2 linked regions of the Daphnia pulex genome follow. The main gene of each other region encodes a partner of the protein of the gene in region 2 in a complex. Links are inferred from orthologs where the notes say so. Each region holds a gene or a part of one and is shown on either strand. Other genes may lie near its edges.

Region 1 (5,732 bases), on a different chromosome or scaffold from region 2:
TAAGGATCCGGATCATCAGCTAAAGACCAAAGGAGATCAGTTGGTCAAGAAATCGACATCAGTAAACATCTTTTCACGAGTAGACGATCCCTTTGATGACGACTTCTTCCAACCGGATCTGCCTCCAGCTAAAGCTTCTTCCCCTGCACCTTCTAATTCTCAAATGGTTAAACAACCATCTGTTCATGTTTTTAATACGATCGTCGAAGACCCTTTTGCGTGGGTTCAACCCTTCGACGATAACATTCAATTTGATGACGTTGACGATGAATTTACTCTTTAAAACTATCATTTAAAAAGTCGGAACCTTGTCTATTGCGGATTGACGTACTATCTTTTCTCTTGCGCTAAAAATTTCTTTGTCGTTTCTGCCATCCCCTGTCCCCAACAATAACAAAAAAGAAAGCATCCAAGTAACATTTTCTGTCATATCTGTATTTATGACCAGTCATGGAAAGTGGACCTGAAAGTGTGGCAGAATAATAGTTCACCAAATCTCTTGGTGCATCTTTGTTGATGCCAAATGATGTCAATTGGCATAGAAAATGTGACGGGCTAGTCATCTTATTTTTTATTTGTGATTGTATTTTCGTTTCGTAGCCACTTACCATTTTACCCTTCTTTTAATTTTTTTAATTTTTTTTGCTGAACATGAATCAAGGACTCAATATTGTTTCTTTTTCTCGCTTTTTTTTGCTCTACCCAAGTACCCATACACAGCCTCCACTTGTTTTCGCTATTTGGCAGTTACTCCCTTCGTCAAACATGATCATAGTTTACAGCAATTTTCCTTTGATTCCTGGAATCAAAACACGATCCATCGTGTATCTTTTATTCTATGTACCTTTTTCATTTCCAGCGGTAATGCATTATTAAACGTTTTAGTATGAAAATGTACGCATTTTATTTTATTTTACGAATTCAAAATGAAGACAAAATACAATAAGTTGCTAGTAATAGATGAAAAGAGCATCAGAATCTTTGATTAAATGAGTTGTTTTGCTGAGGATGCGACTGTTGTTGAGGATGGCCAGGATGATTGGAATAGTTCGGATGCATACCTCCTTGCATGTTGCCTTGTTGTGACGGATGCTGAGGGTGATGGCCATGGCCATGATTAGAATTACCCGATTGTGAAGCATGTTGCTGTTGCTGTTGTTGCTGCTGCTGCTGCTGTTGTTGTTGTTGCTGCTGCTGTTGTTGCTGTTGTTGTTGCTGCTGCTGCTGTTGTTGTTGTTGCTGTGCAGAAGGATGCTGCTGTACATGGGGTTGCTGTCCAACATGTTGACCATGGAAATCTGGTGGGCCTCCTGACATGTTGGATCCACCAACATTGTTTCCAGGATGTGGGGGAGCCAACCGTACTCGTTTTGCATTAGGACCATGAGACTGGTCATTGGGGGCATTCGCTGCAGTATTCTGACCCTGTGGATTCTTAGCAATCATCTGAATTCAAAAGTGTACCCAAATGCCAAATAAAACGCAAATGAAAGAAAACCAAAACAAGGGAGACGAAAAAGACTAGATAAAATAAAATCAAAAGAACAATTTATTATTACCTTGCTGCTATCAGATTTGTCATCTTGCTCTTCGTCACTCAAAAATTCTCGCTTCGGGTACGGAATAGGACAACCAGCAAATACGCTAATGAAACACAAATCTGATCAAAACTGATTCTTATATTACATTATGATTCTTATTTTAAGTTTACTCTGAAGTAGGTAAAGGATCTTCCTGAAAGTAAGGATCAGCCATGGCAGATTCTGAGGTGAATCTTTTAGTAGGATCCATCATTAAAAGTTTGGAAAGCTTGAAGCAAATTAATCAGTCAAAAAAGGAGAGAAAAAAACGCAACTTTTAATTTTAAATATCGATTACCAAATGAAAAGCTTTAGTATCGGCTTTAATTTTATACCGGTCCATATACTTCATCAAGGAACATGTTTGATAGCTAAAAGAAAAAAATAAAAAAAAAATAAACAAAAGATGCATTTTGAACATGGAGTTAATATTAAGAAGTAAACAAACAAATGGAAATAAACACTTACTTGTTACGTTTAAAATCCTTGAGAAGTGTAGGATGTTCAGGCATTTTTTTAATATCTTCCCAGTCCTTGTCATGTGGAAATCCCATTACGTTGAAAATTCTACAAGGAAATGTAATAAATAATTCATTTCTGACACTCACGAAGAGCAAATTTTCATACCGATCGAGTTGATCGTGATGATAGGGATTGGAAGTTTTAATGTCTTCTTGACGACAATGAAAAATTGGTTCTGATGTTAGTAGTTCAGCAAAAATACATCCAATAGCCCAAATATCTAAAATAAATTGTAAAGCAATGATATAGAATTGTGAAACACCACACAAACTACTAATGTTTTACCAATAGCTTTTGTGTAGTGCCTAGCTCCTAAAAGCAGTTCTGGTGCTCGATACCAGAAAGTCACAACTACAGGGTCCAAATCAGCCAAAGGTTTCAGTGGTGAATTAAACAAACGAGCAAAACCCATGTCGGCAATTTTAACTCTTCCCCTTTCAATTCCTTCTCCCATGACTAAGATGTTGGCTGGTTTCTAAGGAAAAGAAAGCAAAAATCTATTTGTTGATGAAAATATTAACAAAAGCAGATAATTCTCAATACCAAATCACGATGAAGGATCCAGTTAGAATGCAAGTAGTGAATCCCATCCAAGATTTGATATAGCAAAGATTTTACCATGGCTTTAGGAGTGTAAACTGCCTTTTTATTTGCTTTGGCTGCTCTGTGGAATTTAATGATGTGCTAAATTTTGGTTTGTGACAAATATAATAAGTTAAAAGATCATGAACCAAAACAACTTTAGAAGGAAGATTTTAACAAACCCATAAGTCATGTTCTGCATAATCAAAAAGAAGCCAAACTTTGCGATCAGTATGGGAAAGAAATACTCGTTGAAGATTGATCACATTAGGATGCTTTAACTCCCTGAGCAAGGCTATTTCACGACAAGCTGACATGGAAAGACCAGTGCCTTCAATTTGCTTTAATGCATATTCCTTTTGGTCAGCACTATAAAATAAAACATAATTATATTGAACTTACACAATTTCTCGTGCTTAGAGAATATCAAACCTAATTAGTTTATTAATATCCGAAGTGGCGAATGTTTCCTTTCTTTTCGCTTTATACACATGACCGTAAGTACCACGACCAATCTTCCTTCCTTCATATTCAAACAGATCTTCTACTTTGGTACGTTCTACGCTCGTTCGAACTTTAAAATCGTAATCCATGCTAGTTATTGCATGAATGCAAATCAATTTGTGTAATGTTGATATTTTTTCTTGTTGACGATTTTTGGTTTGTTATACTGTAATGACGTTTGCCAGATGGAGGAAATGAAGAGCAGACGGAAAAAACTAAAAATTCAAATAAAAGGCAGAGCAATAGATACCTGGTCGGTTCTCGGCCGTGTTGGCTTCCCTATCCCGGTTTCAGGGTAACCGTGGTCCGATTTGGAAAAATTGATGAGCGCCTCTAGTGAGTGTGTCAGGTACTACGTGAAGCCAGCCAATCAGGAAGGGTCTATGAAAAACTCATTGACCAATCACAGCTTACTTTTCTACAAGAAGTGAACAATAATAAAAAGGTAGAAGTATCCAACTGTCAAACCTCTAAGTCATATATAAGTGTCCTATTTTTCTAAGTGTTCTCACATTCTTACATTTTATTGTTTGTTTGTGTAAAAAAAATATGTAATGACATGGTATGTTTAGTTTTCAGTTACTTTGAATTTTATTCTAGTGTAGTTACAAATGGGTATTTATTAAAACGAATCATTTTCTTGCATACAATGTTTCATAAATACAGAGGTACCTACGCAAGTTTTGCTAATTTTTTGTTTTTTTTTACATTTGCTGAAGCTTCAGCTAACAAAAGATTTTTTAGTCTTTTTGATTCAAAATAATATCTAACTCCCACATATTCTCTTATGAGGTAAGGTAACTTTTCATCTCGATGAATGTCACAAAAAATGGGAACCAAATGACAAGTTGAAATTTTCTCCATGCACTCTTGAAATGACTCCTCTTCATACATTTGGCCAATTGGCTCAAAATGACCCTCAATTACCTTTTCTATCACTCTGAATGTTTGGAACATATTTACAGTGACAAAGATCAAAAACCCCTTATTGCGCATTCGAGTATAATGATCTGCAGTGAAGTCTTCTGGCAACTCCAGTTCCTCGCAGCGAAGGGATTTGTAACAGTCAGGACATTTTGACATACTCTTCCTTGTGTGAATCATATAACCACACAAATCATAAATCAAAATATCTTTGACGAAATTAGAATTCGCTGGTTCGTTAATTTTATCAACAAACCGAATTGTTATTTCCTTCAGTAGTTTATCTTCTAATACTGATCTCAGGTCGGAAGCTCGAATGTCACTTTCCTTGGCTTGACGTTTAAGGCATTTTGACATTGTTACTAGGATGTTCATCTGCTCAACATTGTCAACGTTTGCTCCTTGTATAATCGTGGATAATCTTGCTCCAAGAGACACATAGCGAATGATTTGTTGAAAAGAAGTCACCGTGGGATGAGCATCAACACCACGTACAATGCCGAACAGTCTCTGTATGAATTAGAAAAAAAGTTATTGAGTAATTGCAATAGAAATGATAATCACGATTAAAATTCGTTTCACCTCTACTGGATCTTGATTCATTTTTCCAGTGAGGACTACTGTATAGCCTGCGTTAAACATTTCTTCAGTTAACGCAATAACGCTTCTTATAGTCATTCTCCATCCATGTACGGTTGTCAAGGAACAAAACATTTTTCGGTTTTTGTCCTTTTCATAAATCCTCTCAGTTACTGCTAGAACTGCTAACATGGCTTCAAGTATTTGTTTCCTGCCTTTCACTTTTTCATCATGTGCATTTATCCACCAGTTATTGGGAGTGATTCCTTCTTTGATATGTCTACCGTTGAGTACGTCAAAATTGTCATTCACAGTCTTTGTAAGCCGCTCAATGTGTTCAGTACCTAACAATATGTAATAATCAATAGCATTTTAAATTGATTGATTAATTATGGAAAATACCTTCAAACAACTTTTTCAGCCGTTTTTCATTTGCAGTAAAGGCTGGCATTTCACGGTAGATTTTAAAAGCAAGAGCATTTCGTTCCGAAAATGTTTGAGCAGCTAGTCTGACGTTCATTTTTTGAAAATTGTTTGGTTTTACGTGCGCTTCAGTTAATCGGCAGCATAACATCAATTGCAAACCTTTCTGGGCTTCCAGTAGATGTTCATACGAATAAAAATTTACGTTGTGTCCCTGGAACTACAAATAATATTTAGAATTACAAATTAAGTAAAACAACATTAAGAAAAATAAGTTACCTGAACTAATTTATGTTCAAGCATATGGTTTCTTGTGCATTTCAACAAATGAGGAACATCGTGGAGGCAATGAATTTTCACTGAAGGATCCATAGGGTGTAACATGGAATTAACTCCATCTTCCGTTCCAGAAACACCAAAATGGGAATACACCGTTTTGTTTGTGGAAAACCCATCACATACGCTTGCTTTCGTTATAGCTCCAGCTTGAAACAGACGCGCAATGCTTTTCGTAACTAGTTCTAGCAAAACTGTACCAGATGCTCCACCCTTTGTTCCAAACCACGCAAACGGTTGAATCCAGCCTTTATAAAATGGTCTGAACACAAACACTAGGAC
Region 2 (5,544 bases):
AAAAATTAATGTTTGTTTGAAGCTAAAGTAATAAAGTACACAATTAAAGGAAACCACAGAATTTACCTTTATCAAAAGGATGTAAAAAATATTTGTCTTTAACAGAAATGCAATAGCCAACTATATGTTTAGCTTTCAGAAACAAATTGTTGTTGCCAGTGTGATCCGAATGACCATGAGTAGATATGACATAGTTGATGTCATCAGGGGTTAACCCATTCGCCTCTAAAGATAGTAAAATGAGATTGGTATCCCAAGGTGTCATTGTATCAACAATTACTGAAAAAATAATTTATTAACTGTTATCACGTTATTGCGAACATATTTGGATTGTGCTGTTTGTTACTATTTTTACTGCCGGTAACCAATACGCATGAGCAATTTGCACGGACGAAAGGAAGATTTTCGTCTTTTTCCTCAATTGTGGTAGAAGAATATCCAGTATGTATTACTGTAACACGGTTGGAGTTCGCCATCCTTTTAGAAATTAGAGTAGCCCTTCTAGTGTCAAAATGTCAAAAATCAAAATCAAATGTTTTGTTTTTTTAGACTGCTTTTTTCGCCATCTATGGGTGACACGCTGAACTTTGCCATTTTGCTTATTGCAGCAGCTGTGGTTTGAAAATAACGTACGCTAAATTGAGGGAGAAAAAAATACGGACACACCCGTTTAGGCTAACAAATGGTCACATAAAACCGCAATTAATTAATTACAACAGTACATTAACTGCAGTCTATTGAACCACCAAACTATCTTAGTTGATGTGAATCGTAAAGGAACAATGGGTTCAATCAATGTATTTGAAATTGAACTTTCCTTAGTGGAACACTTATAAATATGAGCAAGTAATGTTGAAGACAGAAATGAATTTGAATAAACACTCAAAACAAGTCACCATTTCCTTTTTCCTTCAGAATTTCTTGATATTCCTTGTATGTTATTTTCTTAGGAACCATATCTGAAAACACAATAATAATAATAAATTAAAATTTTACTAATACCATTTAGTAACACAGTACCTTTGAGAAACTGCATAGAATCACTTTTTTGAACAATGTCAGCTAGACCTTTGTAAGTAAGCTCATTTGACTTTTTGGTACTTTCATAAATCTCTTGGGCTAAATGTTCTACAAAAAACTCCTTAAAACATTGAAACATTTTAGATGAAGATGAGAAAAATAAGATGAAAAAATTATCTGGAAACAAACTAAAAATACCGTTGCTTTTGTTACAAAGTATAATGCGTCAGTGGATATGCTCTCAGTATCTGGGGAACTCTTCATAATCATTTTTACTCGTGCTTGTGGTAATATTATGGAGCCGTCTCCTAATTTCGGTTTAAAGGAAGACATTCTTAATTTAATTTCACTTGATTTAGTCCTTCACTTCAATCAATTCAGCAATTCCGCGCCACTACAATTTCTAACAAAATGCCAAAATAGAAATGTTCAAAATATAGTCTGCTGACTTTTACAGCACTGCCAAGATGTGATCAATGAAAATTGAAAATGCAAGGAGCATATTTTGTCATTAATTTGTTCATAATAAATTGATACCAATTGTATTAATAACTATTTCTAAATTCAGTTGCTAGACTACGATTAGTCCAAAATTCAAATACATTCATCTCCAATTATTCTTTATGTGTGCCGTAACAGCAAATTATAGAAATGCAACGTTGTAGCAAAGCCATCACACTGATATATCTGTCTGAACCATGGTCTGAAAATCGGAACTCTTGATAAGAATTTAGAAGTATTTGATTACTTGTGTACTTGTGTTGTGTAAACATTGATGTGTGGTAACAAATTTATACTTCTGCGTGGAAATTGATTTTAGAGCTAGTTATGGCTTGTTTATCAATGGAAAATCGTCCTCTTAAAAAATTGAGATTAGGACCGCCCGATGTTTACCCACAGGATCCCAAACAAAAAGAGGTAATATTTTGAATGTAGCTGCAGCTTTTTTATGAGCCCAAGTACGAAAATGCTAGTTGCCAAAAGGCAGTTTCATTTAAAAAAAAGGATAATTCTTTATGTTTTCCTTTCATTAACATTTGGAATACTATTTTTAGGATGAACTGACTCCTGTCAATGTGAAACAAGGATTTTCTCATACACCCAATCTTAATCAGTCTGAAGAGTATGGATCTGCTAAAAATCACAACTTTTCTTTATCAAAGGTAAACTACAATTTACTGTAATTAGTATGATGTTCATAGATTGTTCTAGGCTGACAACCATTTTATTATTCTTTCCTAATGTTAGGTCCAAACTTTTATTAATGGAGTGCTTACAAAAAAACAAGAAATCAACACATTGCCTGATACTGGCCGAAAACGCCAACTCATCAATCCCAAAGAAAATTTCCATAATGTTACTCCAAAGTCCAAGGCATTCATTGAGTCTTGGTTCAAAGACTTAGCAGGCAGCAAACCTTTGATGAATCTAGGAAAAAGAGTAATATTATACTCAGAATATCTTAAACAAATAAAAATACCAACTTTTGATTCCTTTTACAAGGTGCCAATATTCAACAAGAAGGAAGAAATATTTATCCAACTAAGTGAATATCAGGTTCCTATGTCTAGAGCAATATGGTTAATCAAGATGACATCTGCGTATTCAGTGGCTATTTCTGAAGCCAAAATGAAAAAGCGTCAAGTTCCAGATTCCTCTCAAGGTAGTTTCCAAGATTTAAATAATTTATTTTATCTGCAATTATAATCATTTTTTTGTTATATAGAGTGGACTAGTACATTGGTCCGGTTCATAAAGGAACAAATTGTGAAACTACAAGATTTCTATCAAAAATCCACAAATAGTGGAGGAACTTCTGCTGCATATGCTTCAAATGCTACTGCATATCATAATGGTAGCCCTTTGATGAGTGATGAACAGAAGCTTGCTCTTCGCCAATTTAATTATTGCCAGCAATTATGCAAAGTGATGTTTGAGGTATTGTGGAGATAAAATTTTATTTTTTCGTTTTTGCAATTTCATTTGTCTTTCAGGAGGGACTTCTTGAATGCCAAGATTTCTTACAATGGCAGTTGGACATGCTTGAAAAATGTAAAACTTGTGATGATGGTCTTCTCAAGTTTATTATTCCATTAATCTTGCAGTATGTAGATGAATTTACACAGTGTGAAATTCTGAGTCGAAAGCTTGTTTTTCAGGTAAGGTTGGATGACCAAGTTATATACAAATCTTGAAATAAATGTATTGTAATTGGTTTCGTTAAATCAGGTGTGTAGAAGAATTTCACCGCTTCTATCGAACGATCAAATCAGCGAAGGATCAGTTTCGTTAGATGTGGGAAATTGTGGGCAGCATAGGAGTGTTCTTCTTCAAATGTCTGCCATCATTCAAGCAGTCGTTCTTCATTGTCCGACGGCGTTAGTGTGGAACCATTCTGGAGAAGGAAAAATATCATCTCATTTGGTTGGATCCCCTTTAGATCATTTGCCTATTCCTCCGTCAGCATTACCTATGGCTCCTCGTTTTTCAAACGATCACGTAAGGACTTGTGACCTAAATTCTAGGATTACATTTTTCTTGTCACTATAACATGACAAACTTTAATCGTACTATATTCTTTTATTCTAGGTCCGTCAGATGCTTCGAGAAGCTGAGAATGCCATCAAACAGCGTAGTAAGGCTGCCGAATCACGATGGCCTTTAGATAAACTGATTCATCACTCCGAAATCAATTGTAGTGTTAAAGTAAGTCCAATTCTAGATATTGAAATAATTTTCATTTAAAATTTTAATGAGATGATTTCATCCAATAGCAGAAACAACAAAATCAGCCACAGACTGGGATTATAACAGCACGAGTGCTTCAGGCTCTCGAAGCATTGGATCTTCATAGTTTCGACCGTGTAGACTTGACCAACAGGTGAGACCACTTAATAGTCGTACCCTTACATCCTGTTTGTGACCTTTCAATCAATATTCATTTCAGTATCGATTCACTGTACGTCAAAATATTTCCGGCAATTGGGGGAAACAAAGGAAATGTTGATCCTGCAACTGTAGAGCAAATTGGCCAATTCGCCAAACAGGATGAACCGTTTGTTCGCCTGTTGTGTCAATGGGCAGTTAGTGATCAACGATATGGAGAACACCGCGCGATTGCAGCTGCTCTGCTTCTAGAAAAGAGACAAATGGATTTGGTGGCTTTAACAGAAAGTGATGCTGTTGGAGGCGAAGACAATGATACCGACGAAAATTTGGCTGCCGTTTCCGCCGTCCAACCCGTTTATCAGGTTTGCTTGATTGTTATTTTGGTTTTTCTTAATGTTTCTAAAATTAATGTTGATTTCTTAGGGATTTTTAATGAAATTTCTTGACTCCGAAGCACCAGTGCTCAATGAATCAAGTTCCGGGCACAACAATCGAACAGTTTTTGCGTCTTTGGTTCATTTATACTATGAACTCATCAAGCATGACGTGTTCTCTCATGACATGTACATGTGTACTTTGATTTCGCGAGGTGATCTTCTCTCAGTTACACCTGGCCATAGTGGAGCTACGGTTGCTCCGTCAAATTCGGGTCATTTTGCTGGCACTCCAAGCAGCGGAATGAGTAGTTTAACGGGATTCCAATGTATGAATGATTTACGCTGTGAAATGGATGACAGTAAAATAGACGACGATCTTGGGAAGTTGTTGCAACATATCAAAGAAGAACAACAAATTGTCATGGTTGGTATTTTTTCTTGTATTTATATTAGTGTAATCAAATTCCACTTTCGGCATTATTTACTAGCTATGATATTTAAAGAAGTATTTTTCAGAGGTTTTATTTGATGTTTGTTTTTATTACTTTCACTCAGGACACGCCTGATTCTCCCAAAGATGAAAGTCATAACACACTTGAAACTGGTCGAGGAGAGAAAGAGGGTAAACGTCAATCAAGACACCTCCTGTTTACCACTCATTTTCCTTTGCCTCAGGTAATATACATAATATTGATCTAAGAACTTGCACGAATATTCGAACTATATTTAAATTATTGATTACTTATTGGTTATTTGTGTATCCTAAAGTCGTCTTATCTTTTCTACTTAGGATGATAGTTTAATCCACGACTGCAATCAACGACACATTCTGCTGTACGGAGTTGGAAAAGCACGCGAAGAATCTCGCCATGCTGTTAAAAAAGTCTCAAAGGAAATGTGTCGCCTTTTTCACAAGAAGCTAGCGATTGATGTCCAAACGGAAGGGACTAATCTAGCTGGAGGAGTCGGAGCCTTTGTAGGTTCTTCGAAATCCCGAAAACACTCGTCGCGCCTCGAGTTCAATTTTGAATTGAGCATGCAACGCTTTCTATCGTTATCTTACTTTGATCGTCATGCCGTAGCTGCCCAAGCAGCCTCAACTTGTATGGAAATGATCAATAGCTTCACCGTTGGAGGAGCAGCGTATTTGCCTATTTTGGAACACATTTCTTTTCTCTTCGATCTCTTCGAAGTTTCGCTAAGTATAAGTGGACTCATAGATCTATGTCTACAGCTCCTTAAAGGTAAAAGCTAAGAG

What was found. The genes of interacting proteins can lie anywhere in the genome.
Region 1: mediator of RNA polymerase II transcription subunit 12-like (region 2) and cyclin-dependent kinase 8-like share a complex: the UniProt entries of both Drosophila melanogaster proteins name them as parts of the cdk8 module of the Mediator complex. The link is inferred for Daphnia pulex from reciprocal best matches to the Drosophila melanogaster genes kto and Cdk8.

Annotation. Positions count from the first base shown.
Region 1 is NC_060023.1:3,949,332-3,955,063, forward strand, and holds cyclin-dependent kinase 8-like, read right to left. Parts: upstream 3,490-5,732; 5' UTR 3,278-3,489; coding exon 3,117-3,277; intron 3,054-3,116; coding exon 2,867-3,053; intron 2,787-2,866; coding exon 2,646-2,786; intron 2,578-2,645; coding exon 2,388-2,577; intron 2,323-2,387; coding exon 2,208-2,322; intron 2,148-2,207; coding exon 2,049-2,147; intron 1,952-2,048; coding exon 1,879-1,951; intron 1,810-1,878; coding exon 1,712-1,809; intron 1,645-1,711; coding exon 1,560-1,644; intron 1,447-1,559; coding exon 973-1,446; 3' UTR 880-972; downstream 1-879. Other genes in the region: protein disabled-like, read left to right, coding at 1-283; uncharacterized protein LOC124198281, read right to left, coding at 3,861-4,622, 4,695-5,035, 5,094-5,334, 5,394-5,732. UniProt on the Drosophila melanogaster protein: Component of the Mediator complex, a coactivator involved in regulated gene transcription of nearly all RNA polymerase II-dependent genes.
Region 2 is NC_060025.1:6,925,509-6,931,052, reverse strand, and holds the start of mediator of RNA polymerase II transcription subunit 12-like, read left to right. Parts: upstream 1-1,686; 5' UTR 1,687-1,848; coding exon 1,849-1,938; intron 1,939-2,075; coding exon 2,076-2,183; intron 2,184-2,268; coding exon 2,269-2,460; intron 2,461-2,523; coding exon 2,524-2,683; intron 2,684-2,746; coding exon 2,747-2,958; intron 2,959-3,014; coding exon 3,015-3,179; intron 3,180-3,249; coding exon 3,250-3,519; intron 3,520-3,609; coding exon 3,610-3,726; intron 3,727-3,794; coding exon 3,795-3,901; intron 3,902-3,967; coding exon 3,968-4,271; intron 4,272-4,332; coding exon 4,333-4,710; intron 4,711-4,841; coding exon 4,842-4,961; intron 4,962-5,076; coding exon 5,077-5,530; intron 5,531-5,544. Other genes in the region: metallo-beta-lactamase domain-containing protein 1-like, read right to left, coding at 67-279, 347-476; chromatin accessibility complex protein 1-like, read right to left, coding at 883-959, 1,021-1,141, 1,219-1,353. UniProt on the Drosophila melanogaster protein: Component of the Mediator complex, a coactivator involved in regulated gene transcription of nearly all RNA polymerase II-dependent genes.